Linked DNA regions of Pelodiscus sinensis. The protein of the gene in region 3 interacts with the protein of the main gene of each other region in a pairwise test. Links are inferred from orthologs where the notes say so. Each region holds a gene or a part of one and is shown on either strand. Other genes may lie near its edges.

The links.
Region 1: the proteins of TSGA10 (region 3) and ZNF410 interact in binary tests that used the Homo sapiens proteins (3 or more experiments, as listed by UniProt). The two-hybrid records come from large-scale screens. The link is inferred for Pelodiscus sinensis from reciprocal best matches to the Homo sapiens genes TSGA10 and ZNF410.
Region 2: the proteins of TSGA10 (region 3) and CDC73 interact in binary tests that used the Homo sapiens proteins (3 or more experiments, as listed by UniProt). The two-hybrid records come from large-scale screens. The link is inferred for Pelodiscus sinensis from reciprocal best matches to the Homo sapiens genes TSGA10 and CDC73.

Annotation. Positions count from the first base shown.
Region 1 is NC_134714.1:45,158,263-45,166,113, reverse strand, and holds the start of ZNF410 (zinc finger protein 410), read left to right. Parts: upstream 1-4,814; 5' UTR 4,815-5,177; exon of another isoform or gene 5,178-5,193; intron 5,194-7,851. Other genes in the region: FBXO33 (F-box only protein 33), read right to left, coding at 4,109-4,605. UniProt on the Homo sapiens protein: Transcription factor that binds to the sequence motif 5'-CATCCCATAATA-3', and is specifically required to silence expression of fetal hemoglobin in adult erythroid cells.
Region 2 is NC_134719.1:49,814,310-49,822,185, forward strand, and holds the start of CDC73 (parafibromin), read right to left. Parts: upstream 3,006-7,876; 5' UTR 2,792-3,005; coding exon 2,661-2,791; intron 1-2,660.
Region 3 is NC_134711.1:229,168,192-229,176,037, forward strand, and holds the start of TSGA10 (testis-specific gene 10 protein), read right to left. Parts: upstream 3,013-7,846; 5' UTR 2,835-3,012; coding exon 2,778-2,834; intron 2,688-2,777; exon of another isoform or gene 2,456-2,687; intron 1-2,455. UniProt on the Homo sapiens protein: Plays a role in spermatogenesis. When overexpressed, prevents nuclear localization of HIF1A.

The DNA.
Region 1 (7,851 bases), on a different chromosome or scaffold from region 3:
GATTCACAGGAGATGTGTCCCCTAGAGTGGGCACGATTGTACCTTAGCAACAAGACAAGGATTCTTTTGTCAAGGGACCTTGAAGTGCCAACGCACTTTTACACTATTATCATTTTAATTAAACAGAGCTAAATAAAACATGTGTTTTATTATAGCCGTATCAACATGTAGCACAGAGAAGTAAACACTTTGCTGAAAAAATATCTAAAGCATACACAAATTTGAAGAGAGTGCATATAAAATGTAGTTTGGCAAAGTAGTAAAGACAGATTTGGAATAGCAAAAGCTCACTCTTAGTACACAAGCACTTGTTATAAAGTGTTTGGGGAATAAGGGATAGCAACAGCGAAGAAGTGATTTTCAAAGTAATGATATACTGTGAATGCTACACAGTATATGAGAACTTTTCACTAGGATACAGCACACTGGAATCCACTCCACATTACATTGTTGCCAAGTTAGTCACCCAATGTGTTAAAATGCAATAACATTTTTTGACTAATTTTTAGTGATGTTTGACAAAGAGTGATAGCAGCAGACAGATGATTGAGTGAGACAGCCCTGAAATGTTGACAAGTGGAGGACTGGAGTAACATGTACTAAAATATGAATGGTCTGGTATCAATGTTAGGGTCCTCAGTTCAGAGCTGGAGCAGAAGTGATGTTTTTAGAAAGTAAGTTTTGTCAGTGAGATGGCTGAGAGCTAACACACAGAAACTGTCTCTAAGCTAACTGCAATAAAGTGGAGGGACTGAAAGGAAGATAATTTCACCTGCCTATTATGTACTCGTTTAAGACCAAGCATGGATTATTTTCATTACTCTCTATTTACAACCCAGGACAAAAGATGGGGGGGAACAAATATTTCTCCCCAAAGCCACAGATGCATAACAGCCCTAACATGTTCTAATTTTACACATCATTGTAGCCACTTTTCTGATAAACTGATTTGCAGTTTGAAGAAGGCTAAAATACCCACAACAACATTTATAGCTTTTTGTATTGGATATTAGCGTGGAAGTAAGGTTCTTAATTTCATTTTGATCACTAGATCCCTTTCCAGTCATACCCTTTCCTGATATTGATGGGAATCCTGAAGCATCTTAATGGTCTCTTTCTTTTCTGTCTTAGTTGTTTTAATGGCTACCATACCAAGTGTGTGTGCCATACTACAGTGAGGTAAGGAAGTACAGGTTGAACCTCTAATCTGGTACTTTCTGGTCCAGCAACATCTGTGGCCCATCATGATTTTAGTTAGCCAGATATCCACTTATTATGGATGTGGCCAACTTTCCCACAGTTCCATAAAGTTTGTTTACAGCCACCAGTCCTGGCTCTCAGTGTTCCATGCTGCTATTTAGTTCTAATTTATCCTTAAATGTGTTCTAAGAGTCCAGTATGCAGTGGCAGTGTTAGTAAGCTGCTAAACAACATTGGTCTCCCCTGGTATGGCAAATTCTCTAGTTCTACACCAGTCAGGTCCAGAGGGTGCCAGATCAGGGAGGTTCAACCTGTACTATTATAGCCATGTAGCTAAAATGTAGCTTTATGCTAAGTAATGTGACTTAGTGTACTTTGCCAGCCACCCTTTCTGAAAGCAGAAAGGACCTTTTACCTTACCTTTATTGTAAAGGTGCACCAGCCAGAATATTGTGTCTAAAGTTGATTCTAAGGCACAGATAATTTTGTTTTTGTTTTAAAATTAGTATTGTGAAATAAGTGAAAAGGGTGACTTTTTAAAAAAATATATATTTTATTTCCTTGTTTAAATGTGCACATTGCTTCTCTGTAGCAAAGAAATCAACCTTGTTATGTGTAAGACAGTGAGGAATGTATGAGAGATAAGTGCGAAGGTCACCATACCAAACGTTCTAGGAAAAAAACAAGAACAGACGTAAAAATGCCGAAGATTGCTGCATATCCCCATCAAGATGTAAGCAATGGGCAAATCGACAGCTCTGAAAGAAGGCAAGCATTTATCAATTGGGACAAAATATTAGTGATCAAAATGAGCTTAGCATGGCAGAACAAAAATGATAAGGAGCAAGAGAAACAACTGGATATAATAAACATGTCAGAAAAACACCATGACGATGCAAACCCCATTGATCCTGATGGAAAAGGAGAACTGTTTCGCCGTAAGAGCAGGGACGTCTTGCCAAAGACTGGAGCATTGGTCTGGACCGATAGACCCCTCCCCCCCCCGCTCCTCCATCCGTCATCAATCTGGCTGGGCACAGACCATGGAGTGGTAAATATAACACTGATTGGTGGGACAGCGTGCGTATATGTGTCTGTCTATGTAAGCATATGCTAATTGCTTTGCCATTATATTCTCAATAAACGTGGCATATTGGCTTTTCCCCTGAAAAGACCCAATGTACTTCTTATAAGCATAACACACTATGATCAAGCAAAATGCAGGACAATGTAGCACTTTAAAGACTAACAAGATGGTTTATTAGATGATGAGCTTTCGTGGGCCAGACCCACTTCCTCAGATCAAATAGTGGAAGAAAGTAGTCACAACCATATATACCAAAGGATACGGTTGTGACTACTTTCTTCCACTATTTGATCTGAGGAAGTGGGTCTGGCCCACGAAAGCTCATCATCTAATAAACCATCTTGTTAGTCTTTAAAGTGCTACATTGTCCTGCATTTTGCTTCAACTACCCCAGACTAACACGGCTACATTTCTATCACTACACTATGATCACAATTTTTCAAAGAGAACTGAGGCCCAAAGAGACCAGAGTCCATGATCACTAAAGACGACTGTGGCAAAGCATCAAATTGAACCAAGGAATCCCCAGTTCTAAGCTAGCACCTTAACAATTGAACCCGATTTTCCTCTTTACCATCAGCATCTCCCAAGACCAAGGACAATTACAAGTCACTCACTTTTAATAGTTTCTGACTAAATATAAACTTCCTTCTTTTAGAGACCAAACTGTTTCAGAAATTACTGAGTGTCCAGCAACCCAGCTATTATGATAGACTTAGTTAATACTTTTTTTTATAATACCAAGTTCACATCACAGTGTGGTAGAAGGAACAATTTAAAATTACACAAGGTAGCACAACTTATCTGTTGGGTCTGTTCATGCATGGATAAATTATGAAGGCACATTCAAAGTATTTTGAAAAAAAATGGGCTATACACACCATAATGCAAACTTATAGCTCTGATCATACATTTGATTTGTGATTTCTTTTTTCTTAAAATAAAAATGCAATTATTGTACAACTCCAATTGTTTTATTGTGTACCACCGGCCACAAAAACCCATGATACCATCTATATTTTTTGTTTGTCTCTAAGGTGCTGCAGATCTATACGTTGATTTTTAAAAATTTTTACCACAAGCTAATGTAAATTCTCAGCTCATCTATTTCTATATTTTACATTGTATTTATATTCCACAGCTAATATGATACCATGCAAAGTATGTGTAAGCTAGTTTATATGGGCTAACACTGTTTAAGAATTCCAAGGACATTAAATTTGCAAATTATTACCGTAAGTTTTACTTACTGTCAAGTTTGCACTATAATAAGTGATTGACATTATATATCAGAGATGCCAAATAATGCTTCATTTAAGACAATGCTTTACACGCTTGCTTTACACGCTGAATTGTTACCTCTCATCAAATCACAGTTCCTATGAATATGGAGCGTGTTGTACATGAGCTATCGATTGGCAGGTGTGTAACGATTTATCTTCATGAAGCATCAGTACACACAATAGGTGACCTAGTCCTCATTGTGGCCTCCATTATGCCCTTTATTTAAAAGCAAGTTCAAGGGAAATCTAATTGGTTTCCAGGATTTTCTTTCCTTAAGAAGTTTTTCTAATCAAACTCTTTCTCCCAATCCTTCCTTTCCTGTGTACAGAGCAAGATGTTCCTATTAACATGTCCCAGCGAAGAAGGCCAGGACGGGGCGGGTGGGCTGAAGAGGCCCGGCAGGAGGGAAATCCCCCCAGCGAAAGGGGCAGGTGGGAAAGCCAAGCGGGCTCGGGGAAGGAGCTGAGCCCGAGAGATGTGTCCCCCTCCCCCAGTCAGGGAGCGCGCCAGGCCAGAAGACGGGGCGCCCCGCGGTACCTGTTGTTGCGGACGCTGCTCAGCACACACAGCACCAGCTCCAGGTAGGTCCTCAGCAGGTCCAGCCAGCGGGGGCAGAGCGGCGTTTCCCCCTCGGCCGCCGCCCCCTCGCAGACCCCCCCGCCGCCGCCGCCGCCACCGCTGGGGTAGTTGTCGGCGGCGAACTGGACGCGCAGCTCCCGCACGAACCAGCCGCACTTGCGCATGAGGAAGTCGAGGCGCGGGCGCTCGGCGGGAGAGACGCAGAGGCTGAGGCGCAGCCGGGGCCACAGGGCCGGGTAGAAGAGACACTCCCGCCAGTGCGAGCAGGCGGCCGAGGCCCGCAGCCGGTCCGGGCCCGCCAGGAACGAGAAGATGTGAACCACCAGCTCGCTGGGCAGGGAGCCGGCGCCCACCGCCTCCCCGCACACCGCCATGCCTGGCGCCGGCCCGAGCCCCGCTGCTGCAGCCCCAGGCCGCGGCCCCGGCCTCGCCTCCTGCGACAAAAACAACAACATCAATGACAAGGCGGAGGGGGTGGGGGCCGGCCGAGACTCGGCTACTGCCGGGGCAAACCACCGCACCCGGCCGCGGGGGGAGGATAGTACCTACCACCGAGTTCGGGGGGGGGAGGGGAATGGATCCTACCAACTAACTGGAAGACGGGGGTGGCACCATATCTGTATTCAGCTTTGCGGGATTATGGAGGCTACCATTGACCGGAGAGGGAGAGGGGCAAGGAATTACCAGAGAACTCAACTCAGCCCCTTGGGAAGAGTTCCCGACCACCTCACTCAGAGAGAGAAATGGAAACTACCTTTAGACTCAGCTGTGGAAGAGGATGGAACATACCATCAAGCACAACTGGGAGGGGGGTGCAGCTGGCAGGGGGATGGAGGCAACTCCCTCCAGAATCATGTCTTGAGTGGGGAGAGATCATCAAACTGGCACGTTCCCCTGGGGAACAGAACAGGGCACCACTCAGAACAACCAGGCCAAGTTGCATCACAGCTGGGATCTCAAAGTCAAATGCCCAGGTCTGGCTCAATTCTGCAAATCCATCAATCTTCAAGTCAGCTCCATAGGCAAGGTCAGGTAGGATCAAGGTGTGAACCCTTTTGCACATTGATGGAGAAATAGTGTGTTGGGGTGTCTCTGTTCATCCTGAAGAAGTGGAAGAACATAAAATACTGCTTTTGAATGTAGTGAGTGATTGAAGGAATGCCAGTTAGCTGTGAGGTTATGGCATTTTGCATAAAATTGAATCACTGTATGCTCAAGATTTGGAGCATATGGAATGCATCTAACTGCACCATCTACTTGTAAGAGGTTTCAGGTTTCTGACCCATATAGTGATTAGGGATCTGAACGGGTAACTGGTTAACCAGTTACCTGGTAAGCATCACTGTTTACAGATAACCCTTTAATGGTAATAGCTAACTGTTAGCCCACAAGGGCTGGGAGTTCCACAGCCTCGCACAGGGCATGGGGTGGGAGGGGGAAGAGCTGCCAGCTCCCAACCTGTGTAGGCTTACAGGCTCAGAGCCAGTAGCTCAGTGTGGGGTTTTAAGCAGCTGGACTGGAGCAGCCCTTGCTCCAGTCCAGCTGTGGTGGTGGTGGTGGGGGGGCAGTCTAGCCCAGCAGGATGGAACGGCTCCCCCACCTGCCCCCATTTAATCAGTTAACTGGATAACTTAATGGTTCTAGTGGTCCAGCTCCAAGATTTTGGACCTCAGTCTTTTGCATGAGATGTTCAAGTCCACAGTATGGGCAGCATCTTGGAAATATTGAAAGACGATGTGCTGGAGGTGCAGTCACAGAAGTCCCCTTGGGATTGTTCTCCGTGTGCCAATCATGCCATTGACATCCACTTTTTTGCTCTCTGGGGCTCCCCACCACCGTGTTCTCTAGGCCAGATCCTCTGGTCTCCCCCAGACAAAGCACAGAGTTGGGGTAACTGCCCTCCTGCAGAGCAATGCAGACACTAAATCACTTCAACTCTGGGAGGATGAAGTTCTAGGGCACAGCACTCAGGAAATCAACCCCCAAAATAGCTCAAACCCCCAAATAAATCTGTCTTTCTCAGTGTAAAAGTTTTAAACAGGGAAAACTCATGAGGATTTTCACCCTCTTTATCAATGAACGAGAGATATGCACAATGGTTGTTGTCTCTGGGTAACAATTATTCCCCTAGGCCTGATAGTAAACAAAACTGTTTTTAAGTACTAACAGTAAGATTTTAGTAGTTGCGAGTGATAACAGACAGATCAAAGTGAGTTACTAAATTAGAATGAAAAGAAAACACATAGCCAATTCTAATTCACTAAGAAACTTATCACAAGCAGATAAATGACTTCTCTTATTTCAGGCATAATCTTCAAGTCAGAGACAAGCTCTTTTACTCTGACTTGGGTCTCCAGTCCTCTTTGCATGCCAGGCCATTCCCCAGGCCAGCCAAAGACAAATGGCTGATAGCTTCCTATTGCTTAAACAGACTCTCCCACAGGGCGGGAATCTTTTGTTTTACATCCCCTCCCCATCCCTGGAAAAATATCAAGTTAAAAAATGGATCCCAGTATCACATGGTATGGTCACATATTTTCCTAGGACCAGCCACCTTCAGAACTTAAAGTACAAACAAGGCTATTTACTAGTAGTTAACTTGATCACCAGGTCATTAAGGTTTGTGGAGGGAAAGGTGGAAGGCACCAGTAATGGCTCTCATTAGCACTTTTTAAACTATAGTTTCATACTTCATATTTTTAGCTTCACATACAAGAAAGAAACATGCAACATAATAATATATACATATCCAGCAGATTTAACCTAGGAATTTTAATGTTACATGAGATATTTTGTCCAGTGCATCTTTAAGTTAGGGAGAACAGCAAATTAGAGACAATGGATTTCAGTAAGGCAGATTTTGGTAAACTCAGAGAGCTGGTGGGTAAGTCCCATGGGAGGCAAGACTGAGGGGAAAAACAACTGAAGAGAGTTGGCAGTTTTTCAAAGGGACATTATTAAGGGCCCAAAAGCAAGCTATTCCACTGCATAGGAAAGATAGAAAATATGGCAAAAGACTGCCTTGGGTTAACTGGGAGATCTTGCATGATCTAAAAATAAAAAAGGAGTCTCATAAAAAATGGAAACTAGGACAAGTTACAAAGGATGAATATAGGCAAACAATACAGGAATGCAGGGGCAAGATTAGAATGGCCAAGGCACAAAATGAGTTCAAACTAGCTACAGGCATAAAGGGAAACAAGAAGACATTCTATAAATATATTAGAAGCAAGAGGAAGACCAAGGACAGGGTAGGCCCATTGCTCAGTGAGAAGGGAGAAACAGTAACAGGAAACTTGTAAATGGCAGAGATGCTTAATGATTTCTTTGTTTTGGTCTTCACTGAGAAGTCTGATGAAGGAATGCCTAACATAGTGGATGCTAGTGGAAAGGGGGTAGATTTAGAAGATAAAATTAAAAAAGAACAAGTTAAAAATCACTTAGAAATGTTAGATATCTGCAAGTCACCAGGGCCTGATGAAATGCATCCTAGAATACTCAAGGAGCTGATAGAAGAGGTATCTGAGCCTTTAGCTATCATCTTTGGAAAATCATGGAAGACGGGAGAGATTCCAGAAGACTGGAAAAGGGCAAATATAGTGCCCATCTATAAAAATGGAAATAAAAACAACCCAGGAAACTATAGACCAGTCAGGTTAACTTCTGTGCCAGGAAAGATAATGGAGCAAGTAATTAAGAAA
Region 2 (7,876 bases), on a different chromosome or scaffold from region 3:
CTCCAAAAGCCCATGGACCCAGCCTGGATCCCTCTCCTGTACCCCAAATGCCTAATCTCCAGCCCCACCCCAGAGTCTACACCCCAAGCTAAATCCCACATCCTACCCAATCCTGAGCCCCTCCGACACTCCAAATCCCACAGACTGTCCATAGGCAGAATGAATTTTGTTTAGTGCACCAATATGGAGGTAATTTGTCATACATCATCTCCATATTGGTGCATGTAACAAATCATTCAACAAATGGACATCATAAATTAGAAGGAACACTAGTCCGGAGTTCAGGTTGGACAAACTAAAGAGAGTTTAAAGAAAATGACACAAGTTTTCAAAAATGTGACTTGTGAGGAAAAGTTTAAAAACTGGCTGAAGCCGGGCTTGATAAGTCTCCAAATATATTAAGATCTGTTATAGAGAGAACTGTGATCAATTGTTTTCCAGGTCACTGAAAGTAATAAAAGTAGTAATGGACCTAACCTTTAGCAAAAGAAATGTAGGTTAGATAGGCAGATAAACCTTCTAACTATATGAAAAATTAAAAACTGAGTCAGGCTTCTAAAGGAGGTTGCAGAACCCACATTATTCAGGGCTTCTATAAACAGGTTGGACAAACACCTATTAGGGATGGTCTAGACTTACTTGGTCCTGCCTCAGAACCTGGAACAAGACTAGATGACCTCTCAAGGACCCTTCCAGCCCTACATTTCTATGCTGTTAGTGTTATATACTGTCAGTAGTGTTACTGTCACAGACTGTCATAGCCTTGTTAAATTTTACTGGCTGCTTTCCAGGAAAACTCTGAGCAGGAGACACCCCCAAACTGTCTCCTTGTTTGCTCAAGACACCACTACAAATTTAATATCTGAAAAGATGTCTAAAGCAACCACTCTTTCCCTTAACTAGGAATTATCTATTTTAGGAGAATTTATGAGGGAGGGAGGGAGCGAGGAGGGGGGAGAGAGAGAGAGAGAGAGAGAAAGTGCAACTCAAGCAGATTTTTTAACACATTAAAAGAAGGATAATAAATTTCAATCGGTTACACGTTTAAATGCTCTGCAGGCTGCCAGACCTGCGGATTCCTGACCATGGCCAGGAGATTAACTGATAAGATAATGCTTACCCATTAATCTGTTAAACTCTTATATCCCTAGCTTAAAGCAAGGGCCCACAAAGTGAGGTGTGCACTGACTACATATAACATTGACTGTGAAAGTCGTGCACTCCTTCTGCATCCAATCAAAGCAGTGCTATGATTCTGTCACCCCCCTCCCTCCCTGAATTCTAGGTATGTAAAAGTAGTTTTTCTAACTGCACTATCCTGGGAGACTGTTTTCGTTTCAACAGTCTGAAGGAAGACCGCTCATGTGGCCCACTCACTAGCCTGTGTTGCCCACCATTGCACTATGATGGTTACTTTTGAATTCTGAAAGTTTGGGCCACCACTATTAGAGAATTCTTGACCTCTAGTCATGTAGCTGACAAATTTAATGTTCTTTCCCTAATTCAGAAGATCTTTACTTCCCCTTTCCCTTCGTATGGAGCTCCCTTTGATCTCCAGCTCGGCAAACTAATTTGGTTAAAAAGCTGGCAAATTAAATGCTATGTTTAACTGATTAACCCTAAAGCAGGCCCCTCCATCTGCAGCATGCAAGTGGCCCACCCAGATTAGAGCAGCCCCTCTCCTGCAGCCGTGTAGTATTGTCAGGCTACAAAATGTTCTAACATTTTGATAACACTTTTAAAAACAGACACACGCTGTATCTGGGGAGTTATTTGAATTGTGAACACACTTGTTTACAATAGGTTATCTCCTAGAAAAGTTGACAGACTATTTTAGTCTTACAGCAAGGAGAACGCTCCACTAAGGATAGATCTATATGGCCTAATAAATTGCAGTGATGCCCCCAAAACTGAGCAAAGATCCAGGGGTGATCATTTTCTCTCTGGATCCAACTGCACATACCACACAAGGAGAAGAGGAGAGTCTGGAAACAAAGTCTCATGAAAAGGTAACTAACAAAATGAGCAAAGAATACAGAAACCTTAGGGTTATTTCCTCCTACTGAAAGGAAGTAACAAGCATCTTAGAAGCTGTTTTATTACCAATCTTCTAGTTAAGTCAGAAAAAGACAACGCTCGGGCCAGCCACCAGCCCTCATCTATAACGTGCCCTCATTAGTGCAGATGTGTAAAACCCGAACACCCGAAATGGACATAACTCTCTGGCTAACTCCCCTGGCAGTTTTCCTCCCGGAGGCTAGATCGGCTCTCTCCGGCTGGCTGAATCTCCGAGCTGGAAAAGCCGAGTGAGTTGAAATGAGGGGGACAGACCAGCGAGAGGCGCGACCCTCCGCGAAGAGGTACAGCCACACGCCCACCCCAGCCGGGACACCCTCCTCCCTGCACCAGAAAACAAGGGGCCGCGTCCAGCTGCGGGCCCCCGGGAGCTGCAGGAGAAACTACAAACAAACAAACCAGCCGCGGCCGGCGGGGGGAGGCCGGCGGGCTCCGGCACATAGCAGAGCCCGCCGCGCAGACGGGACCCCCGAAGGGCCGCCTCCCCCGCCCCCACTCACGCCTCCCCGCTCAGCGGTAGCAACTTCGGGCAGCTTCCACCCCCTGCCCGCAGGCGGGGCCCCTGCCGCGGCCGCGCGACTCACCCCCAGATGACATAGTTGGTCTTGACATTCTTGGGCCAGGAGAACTCGCCGAAGATCACCTCGTCCCCCTTCACCACGATCTCCTTCTTCTGCGTGTTGTACTGCCGCAGCACGCTCAGCACGTCCGCCATCTTCGCGCCGGCCGCCGCCGCTCCGCCCGGCTCGGCCCCTCAGCCAGCCGCGCGAGGACCCCGCCGCCACCGCCAGGGCCCCTCCGGGCTGCCCTTGCCGAACGCCTGCGCGCAGCCGCCCCGAAGGCCTGTATGCCCCGCCCCCGCCGCGCGCAGCCTGTGGCGAGGGTGACCCTCGGCGTCTGGTCGGGCCTAGTCTGCTCCGCCCCCGCTTCTTTAAGCCCCGTCCCGCGTGGCCTGAGCCGCGGCAGATCTGGCACTTGCCGCGAGTCCTCTGGGCAGCGGCTCTGATCATTGGGCGAGTGAGTGGAGCGATAGCCCAGTGTGCCCGGGGCGGGGCGGGGCGGTGGGAGCAGGAGGAGCCGGGCCCAGCTCAGTGAGGTGGGAGGGCTCAGGAGGTTCTGTGAGCGCAGGCGTGGGGCTCAGGCAATGCGGGGCGCGGTCCCGGGTGGAGCAGGGCTCAGGTGAGCAGCCACGCCAAGTGGCTTGGGACTGCCCAGGTGCGTGGTGATGCCAGGTGGCTCAGGCAATATGGCTCGGGCTATGCACTCCCTGCCTCTGCCCGTCCTCTAAGCCCCGCCACAGGTGTTGCCCTCCCTCTGCTCCCCCCCCCTTCATCCCCCATATGGCATCTCCATCTCTAGGGGTTTTTAAGTCTTGGCTTGACAAAGCCCTGGCTGGGATGATTTGGTTGGGGTTGGTCCTGCTTTGGGTAGGGGGCTGGACTCAGTGACCTCCTGAGGTCTCTTCCAGACCTAGGATTCAAAAATCATGACTCAGCCTCACCAAAAATCCATGAGATTGGCTTTAACATTTCTAGGTGATGTAAAAATAATAGCTATTTATTTGCCTTCTGCATTCTGAGTCTTTCAGGTGCATTGTGATCACCTTTGCAGCTTTCTTCACAGCCACAAGGGCTAGAAACTTATTTTTTCTTTAAGATTAAAGGCTGAAATCTCATATCCACTTGACTGAAGGAACTGGGGTGTTAAGGAGACAAATAATTAGCATGAGACTCATGATAGAAGGGAACACTTCACAGCCCCATGGGCCTGCACAGCATAGGGTTACCACTTTCAAATATTAACAAAAAGTGTTCCATAATCACCATCACAAAGCAAAGCTGTCATAATCCTAACTACAAGGTAACTCTGCACCCCATCCCCCTTCAACAGCCATGTATAATATGTAGAGAGATAATACATATAAATAAGACTGTTTTCAATTATATCAAACAGGCATTGGTTTTATCATCACATTTTGCCAACTAGCCTTTGTAGTTTCAATTAGCAAGTTGTCACTGAATGTGCAGTTTCTGATGCAAGCTTTTTGGGGAGGATTCAGTAGGGTCACATGACCCATTATAGGGCTCTTCCATTATTATGCCTTGCACATCTCCTCATTCTCACTTTCTCATGTTACTATAACCCTCTCACATACATATGTGCGGCACACTTGGATGTTGGTGAGCAGAAAGCTGCTGTACTCAGGGCCATTCGTACACATATGCTAAATACGCAACTTCATAGGGCACCAGAAAATGGGTGGCATCATTGGGTTTAATATCCATTCTACCCACCTCTTCCTATTCTTGATCTGTGGCTCTGAGTCTCCTTCCAGAGAAGATATACTTAACTTAAAAGTGAAAAGGCTTGCCAGACTTATTAGCAGAATATTGAACCTTTGAAAGAGCCATTCAAGTGGTAATGAAACCATTTAGTAGGCATATATTGTCAGTTTCTGAATGTACTGTGTTAGACTTGGCCATGTCTACGTTACAAGATAAGGTTGAATTTATTAAGGTTGATTTCTTACCACCTGATTTTGTAAAGTCGAAGATCCATGTACCCACTGTGTGCAAGAATTCAATATATTTAAAAGTAGCATGTCCCCATTAGGAAGACTGTCATTGACTTTGAGAGTGATACACTTTGGGTAGCTATCCCACAGTGCCTGTGCCATTTCACAGTCTGAGTTATGCTCCCAGTGCACTCTGGATCAAAACTGTGTAGCAGGTGGTTCTGGGTTCATGTTAGCAGCCTCTCATAATGCACTCATCTGCTTACTCCCCTCCCTTGCTTGAGATCAATAGGAAGCAGGAAGTGGGGGGGCAGAGGCTGGAGCCATGCTGGCAGCAGCTAATAGCTTCCTCTCCTTCCTCCAGGTTGCTACGTTAGATATCAGTCTCTCTCTGAATCACACAGAGCAACAGGGAGCACATGCTGACTAAATGTGGCCAGAAACCTGGGCCTTATGCTGTCATACTTTATACTGCAATGATGCCAAACCATTTTCTGGTGGCTTGGCATGGGAACATATCCTACTGTCAGGAGCAGCCCTAGACAGCAACTGGTGCCCTACGTGAAGTGTGCGATTGGCTCACAATCAGCGCGCGATCGGCGCCCCCGCCTCCAGAGCCCTCAACAGCCATTTATCTTGATGCCCTAGGCGACTGCCTAGTTCGCCTGTATTGACGGGCCACCACTGCCTACTGTGGAGGACAGGATAAGGCAGTCCTCGGAAACCTTGTGAGAAGGATCAAATATTTCCCGTGGAGAAAAACAGGGAGGAGTCCTGTTCCATTTCCAGACAATTTAAACAGACTCTTCTAGGCTCCCTACGCTATGCCACACATCACACCCATTACCTTAACTCTCTTGTAGCAAGAAAAAAATGTGAAGATACCAGAAATGCCCAAATGTGAGATGTCCTGGAAGGAGGGGATTGTGTTTGAGGTTATAAAAAATTTTTCTCTCATATCACCGACAGGCTAGCTAATCTCCTCCTCCTCCTCCTCCAGCACCAAACTGTCCTCCACACTGCTGCCCCGAGTGTCTTGGAAGGATTCTATGGTCTGTGTGACAGATTATGTCTGGGCGCGAGCTCCCACCCCTGCATTAGGGTGGGGCCCAGCGAGTCCACCGTCTTGAAACCCGGGGTCTGGCAGTTAGACAGGCACGAGCTCTCCAACTCACCTCCTTTTGGGGTTGAGCGGGGCCCAGTGAGCCCTGCGGTCAAGGAATCACATGGTCCTTCAACCCCCTACCGGGGCCAGCTGTCTATAATTACATCTCACTGGGGCGGCTGCCCTCATGACCTCAAGTAGGATTATGCATTTGCTATGCGAGGTAATAAGGTGGGGTTAGGGGAACCCGGGCCCGCCCCCTCCACCAGGTCCCAGCCCGGGGCCCTATGGGGTTCGGGTACTACCTTTACTCAGCTGACGGTGTCCCACCCCGTAACACATCAGCACACGGGCGCCAAAAGAGCGCCTTGTACGCCGGGACTTACCATTCCAATGCGAGCCCTGGTTTTCCGGGGTCCCAGCCTCCTGACTCCAACAGGGGGGAAGGAATTGCTTCCCCGCGGTCCTCCCCCAGGTTCTGCCTCCTGGGCGGCTTTTGAACCTCCCGCCGGAGGTCACGTCACTCTGTGCAGTTTGTCAGGCCGAAGGGGGTGGGGTTATGTCCCCGGTCTGGGGTGCCACGGACTGCCCCCCACCACTGACTGCCACTGTCTCCTGAGGTGCGGGAGTCCCGCCCCCCATGGGGTTCGGCGCAGGCTGCTTGGCCGCGCCCTGCCGCCGGGGCCGGAATCAGCACCCGGCTGGTTTCAGTGTGGGCCTTCACTGGCCCGTAACACACCTCCCGCCTTGGAGGCTCTTGGCACTCCCCCTCGTCGCTGTCCCATATTCTTGAAAAAAGTGTGCATTCTGGTGCCTATTGCCGGGGCGGTAGCTTACCTCTAAGTCACATGGCTGCAAGGCTAAATACCATCCCATAATATGCATGTGTGTGTCTTTCATAGAGTTGAGCCAGACTAACGGGGCTTGGTCTGCTATTAATTGGAATTTACTTCCCCATAAATAGTACCATAGGAACTCCACTGCCCATTTTACAGCTAATGCTTCTTTCTCCACCGTAGCGTAATTTTGCTCCCGGGGCAGGAGTTTCCGGCTCACATATAGAAGTGGGTGTTCAGCCCCTTGGTGTTCCTGCGCCAGCACCACTCCTAGTCCTACTTGGGAAGCGTCTGTGTAAAGAAGAAAAGGTTTTTCAAACTCCGGCTGTATTAATACCGGCGCACTAGACAAGTGTTTTTTTAATGTCTCAAAGGCCTGTTCTACTTGCGGGGTCCATTGCACCCGTGTGAGTTTTGTGTTTTGTGGTTTTTGTGAGCTTTGTCAGTGGTGCCGCTGTTGTGGCAAAGGCGGGGATGAATCTCTTATAATAGTGGCCAGTCCTAGGAACTCTCACCTGCTTCTTTGACTTCAGGGCTGTGTATATTTTCTAGGGCCTGCATTTTACTCACCAGGGGTTTCAACTCTCTCCTCCCCCCATGCCCCACGGTGTACCCCAAGTACGATACCTCTGTTTTGGCTAGGTGGCACTTCTTTGGGTTCGCCGTCAGGCCCACTTTTCCCAGAGCTGCCAGTATGGTTTCAACATGGCGTAGGTGGTCTGCCCAGCTGCTGCTGTAGATGATGATGCTGTAGATGGCGGCAAAGGCTCAGTACGGGGCCAGCAGCTGGTCCATCACTCGCTGGGAGGTGGCCACTGCCCCATGGAAACTGAAGGACATCATCCTGAACTGGAATAGCCCGAACAGGGTGGAAAACGCTGTTTTATCTCTGACTTCTGGCTCCAGGGGGATTTGCCAGAACCCCTTTGTTAGGTCGAGGGTGGATAAATACTTGGCGTGTCCTAACTGATCCAGGAACTCATCAACGTGAGGCATCGGATAGGCATCGAAACGAGATATAGCATTAACTCACTGAAAGTCGATGTAACGCTGAGTGGTTCCATCAGGGCACCAGGACAATGGGGCTACACCACTCGCTTTGCAATTCCTCGATCACGCCCCTTTGTCGCATCAGCTGTACTTCGTCTCATACCGTCTTCCACATTTTACGTGGCAGGGGTCGAAGTGGCTCTTGTACCATCTGGCCCACTTCGGTGATTATCCAGTGGCACCCCAAAGATGTGCGGCCCGGTCTTGTTGTGAGCACCGCTCCGTATCGGCGAAGGAGGCTCTTAAGTTGTTGCAATTGGATGGCCGTCAGCTTGTCACTCAGATTGACCTCTG
Region 3 (7,846 bases):
AGCTTTAATTCGAACTACCTAGCCCGTGCTGCGTGTAGCCGCGGGCAGGTAGTTCAAATTACTGGGCATTTAAAAATGGTGGTGTCTGGGAACATGCAAATGAAGCCCAGGATATTTAAATCCCGGGCTTCATTTGCAAGTTCGAATGACTACATTAGCCACCCTAGTTCGAACTAGGGTGGCTAGTGTACACATACCCTGATGTTATTTCAGAGTAACAAAGTGCACATATACACAGCAAGCCGTTATTTCAAAATAATTTTGGGATGGAGGACTTCTTACTCGGACTCCTGTAACACCCATTTCATGAGGAGTATGAGAAGTCAAAATTGAAAGAAGAACGTTTTTCCTTTGACTTCCTGCTGTGCCAAAGACCAAATTAAGCTATTTCTACTTCAGCTATACAATTGACTGCAGTGTAGTTGTGCCCTAAAAGCCCAAAAGTCTATTTGTGCAGCTCCACCTACCAACTGGAATAGTACTGAAATAACCACTACATCTAGTCCTGAAAAATCAAAACTATCTTGTCCATTAGACTGTAAACTCTTCAGGGCAGAGGCTATCACTGTGAGGCCTCGTTGGCTTTATGGCATCACCACAATAAACAAGATTATTAGTAATGAATCATTAGTAATAAGCCCAAGGATCTCAAAACATACAACAAACTCTTTGAGGCAGTAGTGGGTAGATTATTATAATTTTATAGGACGACAAATTTAGTAGAGAACCAGCTCTACAGAGTCAAATTATTAGAAACGTTTTTGTAATAAAAAATGGCAAAACTGACCACATGTATTCAGCATTTTAAACAAACTAAAAAATAAGACAAATGCTAGTAATTAAGGCTACATCTATGTCAGCGGGAGGCATAAGGATCTTGCTCAAAAGGGTTTTTCTGCGCAAAAAGGAGCCATCTACACAGTGCTTTTTGCACAAAAACCGCCTGCACAAAAGGAATCCGAGGAGGAAATGCAAACGAGAGTGTGATATATGCAAATGAGTGCTCCATTTGCAGTTCCTCCTGCTGAGGAGGATCATAGTTTAGACATAGCCTAAGAGTTTGAGTCTACTCCAATTAAATTTGAATTTCCCCAGTACCGTATTTTCCGGCGTATAAGGCGACTGGGCGTATAAGACGATCCCCTAATTTTTTAGTTAAAAGATAGGGTTTCGTCTTATACCCCAGCGCCCCTCCACCTCCTTTGCTCCCGGTGTCCCTGGTCTGCTGGAGACGGTCCCCAGCAGACCAGAGGCACCGGGAGCAAAGCCGCAACAGCGGCGGGGTCCCGCGCCTCTGAGGCTTTGCCAGAGCAAAGCCTCAGAAGCGCGGCACCCCGCCGCCGCTTCGGCTTTGCCCCTGGTGCCTCTGGTCTGCTGGGGACCGTCTCCAGCAGACCAGGGACACCGGGAGCAAAGCCTCTGAGGATGCCCCGGCAGCGGGACAGCCCCGGCGCGCCTGGGCTGCCCCGCCGCCGGAGCCCCTCCGCGGCTTTGCAAAGCCTCGGGGGAAGCCGGCGGCGGGGCATCCCAGGCGCGCCTGAGCTGCCCCGCCGCCGGAGCCCCTCCGCGGCTTTGCAAAGCCGCATACCCGGCGTATAAGACGACCCCCGATTTTGGGGGGATGTTTTTTAACATCAAAAGTCGTCTTATACGCCGGAAAATACGGTAATTTCAAAGAAACAGGATTGCGCTATAAAAATGAATGGGGTAAATTGGTTCAGTTAAAAAAAGTGGTCATGCTTTGGAAGAAAATGTAATGATACACTTTATATCACAGACAATACACATGCACCCTGATTGCCTAGTAATGAGCACATAAAAATAAAAATCAGTTACTGAATGTAAAAATAAATAGTATTTATCACAAATTGCAATGAAAGATATTAGATGTAAAATACTGTATAAGGGTTAGAGTCTGCTGCTATAAAAAAATTAGAAATCACTGGATCCAGCCATGAAAAAAGCAAAACTAGCCTTTCACATGTTAAAAGTATCTAACAAAGCCTGGATAAATTTGCTTTTAGCTATTTCTTTCTAAACTTCTAGATCAGATCTATTGGGGGGGGAGGGGCACGACAAAACATAAGTGATGCTTTCATAGTCCCTTACTGAAACTTCCTAACTTATTCATTGCGGGAAACATTCTATCTATCCACTGTCTTGAGAAAGTAACTAGACCAGAAGGTCTTGCTGCAATAACCTTTCGGGATTCTCTTTGCCTGAGCCGCTGTGGGTGACTGGAGGGGGACAGAGATTAACCAGTAAATAAAATAACTTTTCTCCATCCTGATCACTGTTACGGTGAGCAAGCAGCTCTCGTGCCCGTGCTACTATATTCTGAAATTTCTGCAAACCCCGTGCAGATTTGGCCATGGCTTGGTGGGGGGGGGGGGGTGTTAAAGCGAACTCCACTGTCTGCATAGAAGAGGCCGTACAGTAAAGACAAGGCGCTTACCCATCGTTGTCTAGCCACACAGGACGCTACGGGCACTCAAAGCCCAACGTCTCTCCATGCCCCCTGCCTAGAGTCAAGCCGTCACCATGGTGATTGCGGGGCTACCCCGCGCCTCGCTTCCCCAGGCGGCGCGGGAGCAAAGGCTGTTGCCCCCTCCCCGCGCGCTCTGGGAACCCGCCCCGCGCCGGGTCTTACAGGAGAGGGCAGGTGGGGGAGGGGCGAGGGGGGGTCTTCCCAGCGCAGGCGGCGCCTCCCCCCACCCCCGCGCAGCGCAGGGCGGGTCCCCGGCTCCCCCCCCCATCCGGGGAGGGGGGGTCTGTACCTGTGGGGCACGCGCCGCTTTCCTCCTCCTGCGCCCCGGGGACTTTCTGGCGCTCATGGCGGCGGCGGCTCCCCCGGCTCTGGCCGGACTCCGCCGCCCCCTCGCACTTACCCGCCTCGCCGCCCGCCTCTCCCGCTCCCGCCCGGCAGCCCAATCAGAGAGCCCCGCAGCCACCCGGGCCGGGGGGGGGGGGCAACTGCTCAGAGAGCTCCCCCACCTGCCCCGGGCTGCGACCAGCCGCCCCTCGGAGCCACCGGCTCCCCCCACCCCCTGCGCCTCTGCTGTTACCTGCTGCATTAACCCCCTCGCTGCCCTGCGCTCCTCTCCCGGCCCCCGCCCCGTTCTAAGCCGCGCGCTCCATCCCCCCCAACCGTCGCTCGCGCACACAGCGGGTTGTGAGGCGCGCGCTAGCCCCGTGCCCTTCAGCCTCTCGTGCGGGCAGCGTCGCTGCAGAGCCGGGCGCCAATGGCTATGTATAGCCCCCCTTTGCAGAGCCAGGGAGCTCGCTGCGGCCCCGGTAATGCACGGGATGGGGCGGGGGGGGGCAGAACCCCAGCCTCAGAGCCCCACGCACAATTGCACCTGCGGTCTCGGGGCTGCGGGGAGCTGCCCAGGGAGTTTCCACCGCAGCATGAATCCCCTTCGCTCTGCGCTCTGGCCAGCGCCCGCGCGGCTGAAGATGAGACGCGCTTTTGGTTTCAAAGGCAATTCCTTAATGCCCTGAGAGCCGCCTGCTGCGATTGACTTGAATGTGCCGAGCCTAGGGGCGGGGGAGAGCTGGATACTGTTATGTCGGTCATTTGAGAGTCAGCTCTCCCCCGCCCTCCCCGAAATAACCGCCAGAAGTTTACAAAATCAAGAGATGCTTTTGATGCCCACCTGGAGATGAGACCGTGGCTCTGATAGTCCCTCCCTGCCCCCGCAACTAAGCTCCCTCTCTTGGCATTTATCTCACCTGGTGCATGGGACTCACCGCTGCACTTGTGGAGGAGCGATACTGAAAATAGTTATCAAAGCAAGAGCTGGTTCATCAGAACAGCCTATGCTCAACGCTCACAGCCTGAAGGAATTGAAACGTGCCTGTGGAGCAAGAGCAGGTAAAAGGGTCAGTGGTAAGAGGGCAGTGGCCAGTGCATCTGACATTGATCGCTGATGGAATACAGGATACATGAGGCTAGGTCAGTGGTTCTCACACCACTTCCCGCGGCTCCCCTTGGCTGAAAAGGAAACAATGGGAGCTGCGAGGCTCCGTGGCTGTAGCACCTGTACATAAACCGGAAAGGCCAATTAAAGTGTTTCCATGGTACACTTTCAGAAACACTGGTCTAGATGGTGCTTGGTCCTGCTGTGAGGGCAGAGGATTGGACTGGATGACTTCTCAAGGTCTCTTCCAGTTCTAGTATTTTATGAGTTTATGACCCCAAGTACACTGGGAGAAAAATCTCTTCCAGATCCTGCAGGTGGCCAGCTGAAACTCTGAGGCATGAGCTTTTAGGAACATAAGACAAACTGGAAATGAGTCCCAGGCTCTCAATGCTGTGGAGCCCTGCCCCCTACCATCAGAGGTGTTAAGGGACAAGAAGATTTGTCATTCCCCGGGACCTCTTGCACCATTAACGCCTGCCATTGTCCAGAAAAAGTGTGAAGGTGGCATTCCTGACAAACTTCTTTGAAGATTACAAGAGCTGAGCTGATGGAGAATGGGAAAGACTTGCACCATCTCTTCCTCCAACAGGTTTTAGCACAGGGAGTTTGTATCCAGGACATTCTGCATGGCAAACTGTTTGCCGCTAGCCACCACCGAGCATCTGTATAAACACATACCTGTATTTAGACAGAGACAATTCCCCCCTGGGGATTAGGAGCTAGCAGCATCTTTGAAAAACAACTCCACCCACAAAGCATGGGCGAAGCCTGAGCAACTATACCTCAAGAATCCTCCAGGCAGTATCAGGAACACTCTTCCTCTCTTTGTTTTCATCTCTGACAGGTTAGCATCAATAAATTGCTTTTTATCTCTGTCGCAGCAGAAAGTATAGGATAAGAAAATCTGTATTATCTAACACAATATCTAGTCTCCAAAATAGAAATGAAATTACAGGACATGATTTCATATCCTTCCGTGAAATTCTTCACTATGAAAAATTCATTTGTAGGGGAAATATCTTTTATCTGTGCTTTATTCTTGAACTTTTGATTTTTTTTTCTCTTAAGTGAAATCCAACTAAAATGAGTATCTCTTAAAGGAACAGTGCTAATAAAGAATGCATTTTCTGTGCACCAACCAAAATGTGAGGAAATGGAGACTGGACACTATACAGAAGAGTGTTTTCCGAAGGAGAAGAGGTGACAGCAGCACTTTTGAAAGATAGGAAAGACAGAGATGGTGTGATTAGCTGTGATCTGTGAGGATTAGGAAGCAGGAGGATAGAAATGAGTGTAGATAGAGCATCAGTTAGGCAGAGATGCTTTTGTTTACAGAGGAGATGGAACATAGTGATGGCTTTGACCTCACCTTCCTGTATGAAGACTGCATTAAAAGAGAGAGAGAACTTCATACAAAGTCCAGTTCCTACTAAATGATGACAAGAGAGAGAGAAATACTGTGTGCACTTTATAATTGCAGAAGGAATTCATAGATACTATTTGATAGGAGTTTGCTCCCCACATTGGTCCAAAATAGCCCCAATTTGGCAACTTTTGTAGATGGTCTGCAGAATACATTTATTGGAGAGACTGTTTGGAAAGGACTTGAGGGCATGCTTCCCAGATTGATGAAGAGGGTTTTTTTTGTAGGTTATATTATTATTTTAAAGATGTTGGGGTTGGTTTGTTTTTTGGTTGTATTAGTTGTGTTAGGACACTGAAAGCTTTTTATAAGTATATTATTTTATGTAAATATTATTTTCATATTGTGGAATACCCACCTTACATCTTGTATATACATACACACACCCTACACCCCCTCGCCAATTGTGGGTACAAGTGACAGAAATGAGGTTCTTTGCAGGGTGGCTGGACTTACTATCCAAGATAGAGTGAGGAGCGCAGTTATTTGGGAGGCCCTAGGAGTAGAGCTGCTATTCCTTCAGACTGAGAGAAGCTAGTTGATGTGGTTTGGGCACCTGATAAGGATGCCATCTAGGAGGCTTCCGTTGGAACTCTACTAGTCACATCCCATTGGGCAGAGGCCTCAAGGCTAACCCATGACATACTGGAGGGATAATATTTCTAGCCTGAGAATTCTGGGGAATCTCTCTGGGTATGTCTACACTACCACCCTAGTTCGCACTAGGTTGGTTAATGTAGTCATACGGAGTTGCAAATGAAGCCCGGGATTTGAATTTCCCGGGCTTCATTTGCATGATCCCGGCCGGCGCCATTTTTAAATGCAGGCTAGTTCGGACTGCGTGCCGCGCGACTACACGCGGCACAAACTAGCTAGTTCGGATTAGGCTTCCTAATCCGAACTAGCTGTATGCCTCGTGGAATGAGGTGTACAGCTAGTTCAGATTAGGAAGACTAATCCGAACTAGCTAGTTTGTGCCGCATGTAGTCGCGCGGCACACAGTCCGAACTAGCCTGCATTTAAAAATGGCGCCGGCCGGGATCATGCAAATGAAGCCCGGGAAATTCAAATCCCGGGCTTCATTTGCAACTCCGTATGACTACATTAACCACCCTAGTGCGAACTAGGCGGGTAGTGTAGACATACCCTCTGGGAAGAGCTGGAACCTGTTAGGGAGGAAAACGAGATAAGGACCTCCCTACTCTCTATTCAGCCACTATGACCCTGACCAGGAAAAGCAGCATAAAGAAAAATAATATTTTTTATTTAAATATAGATAGATAAAAACTTACACAGATAAACAGATAACATTAGTGGTAGGAGAGATTGAAAGGGTACTCTTTTACATAGGAGGTCAAAAAAGAGTGAGGCCCTTAGATCGAAAACAGTACGGGAATACTAATACTAATATATATTAGTGACTTTCCAAATTAAGAAGATTGTAAATTTCTCAGAGCACTTAGTGAAGAAGGTATTCTTAATATTAATATGTCTATTGGCATATAGATATGTTGGTGCTCCTTTCAAAGCAGAAAGGATATGGGACACTATCCTGGGGGGCTAATAAATAAGGCCCAATCCTTAAATTGATCCCTATAATGGGGTGGTCAACCACACTGGTGAACAAGGGGTTGAACATCCAATGAGGGGGATGCTTGAGGCAGCAATGAGAGCTCTGCTGGCCTGTATAAAAAGACAGCTGGCCTGAGGGAGCTCACTCTGCCCTGGCCTGCACTAGGGAGTTATTTTGAAATAACCCCCTTATTTTGAAATAATAAGCAGAGTGTCCACACTACTCAGCCCGTTATTTTGAAATAACGGATTGGTTATTTCAAAATCTGTGCTCCTGCTTTCCATGGGGAATGTTTATTTTGAAACAGTTAGTTTGAAATAGCGTTAGGCTGTGTCCAGACTCCATGCCTCCGTCGACGGAGGCATGTAGATTAGCCAGCTCGGAAGAGGGAAATGAAGCCGCGATTAAAATAATCGCGGCTTCATTTAAATTTAAATGGCTGCCCCGATCTGCCGATCAGCTGTTTGTCGGCAGATCGGGAGAGTCTGGACGCGATGCCCCGACAAAGAAGCCTTTCTTCATCGACACAGGTAAGCCTCGTGAAACCAGGTTTACCTGTGTCGATGAAGAAAGGCTTCTTTGTCGGGGCATCGCGTCCAGACTCTCCCGATCTGCCGACAAACAGCTGATCGGCAGATCGGGGCAGCCATTTAAATTTAAATGAAGCCGCGATTATTTTAATCGCGGCTTCATTTCCCTCTTCCGAGCTGGCTAATCTACATGCCTCCGTCGACGGAGGCATGGAGTCTGGACACAGCCTTAGTGTGGACGCTCCGCTGCTGCTATTTCGAAATAACTACTCCCCAGAGAAATTCAAAGTAATTACTCCCCGGTGCTTCCTGGGGCTCTTAGTCAATGTAGGGCATCCACAATAGTCTGCCTTGGACTAATTTTGAGGCTCCCTGTAGTGGGGACATACTATTTCAA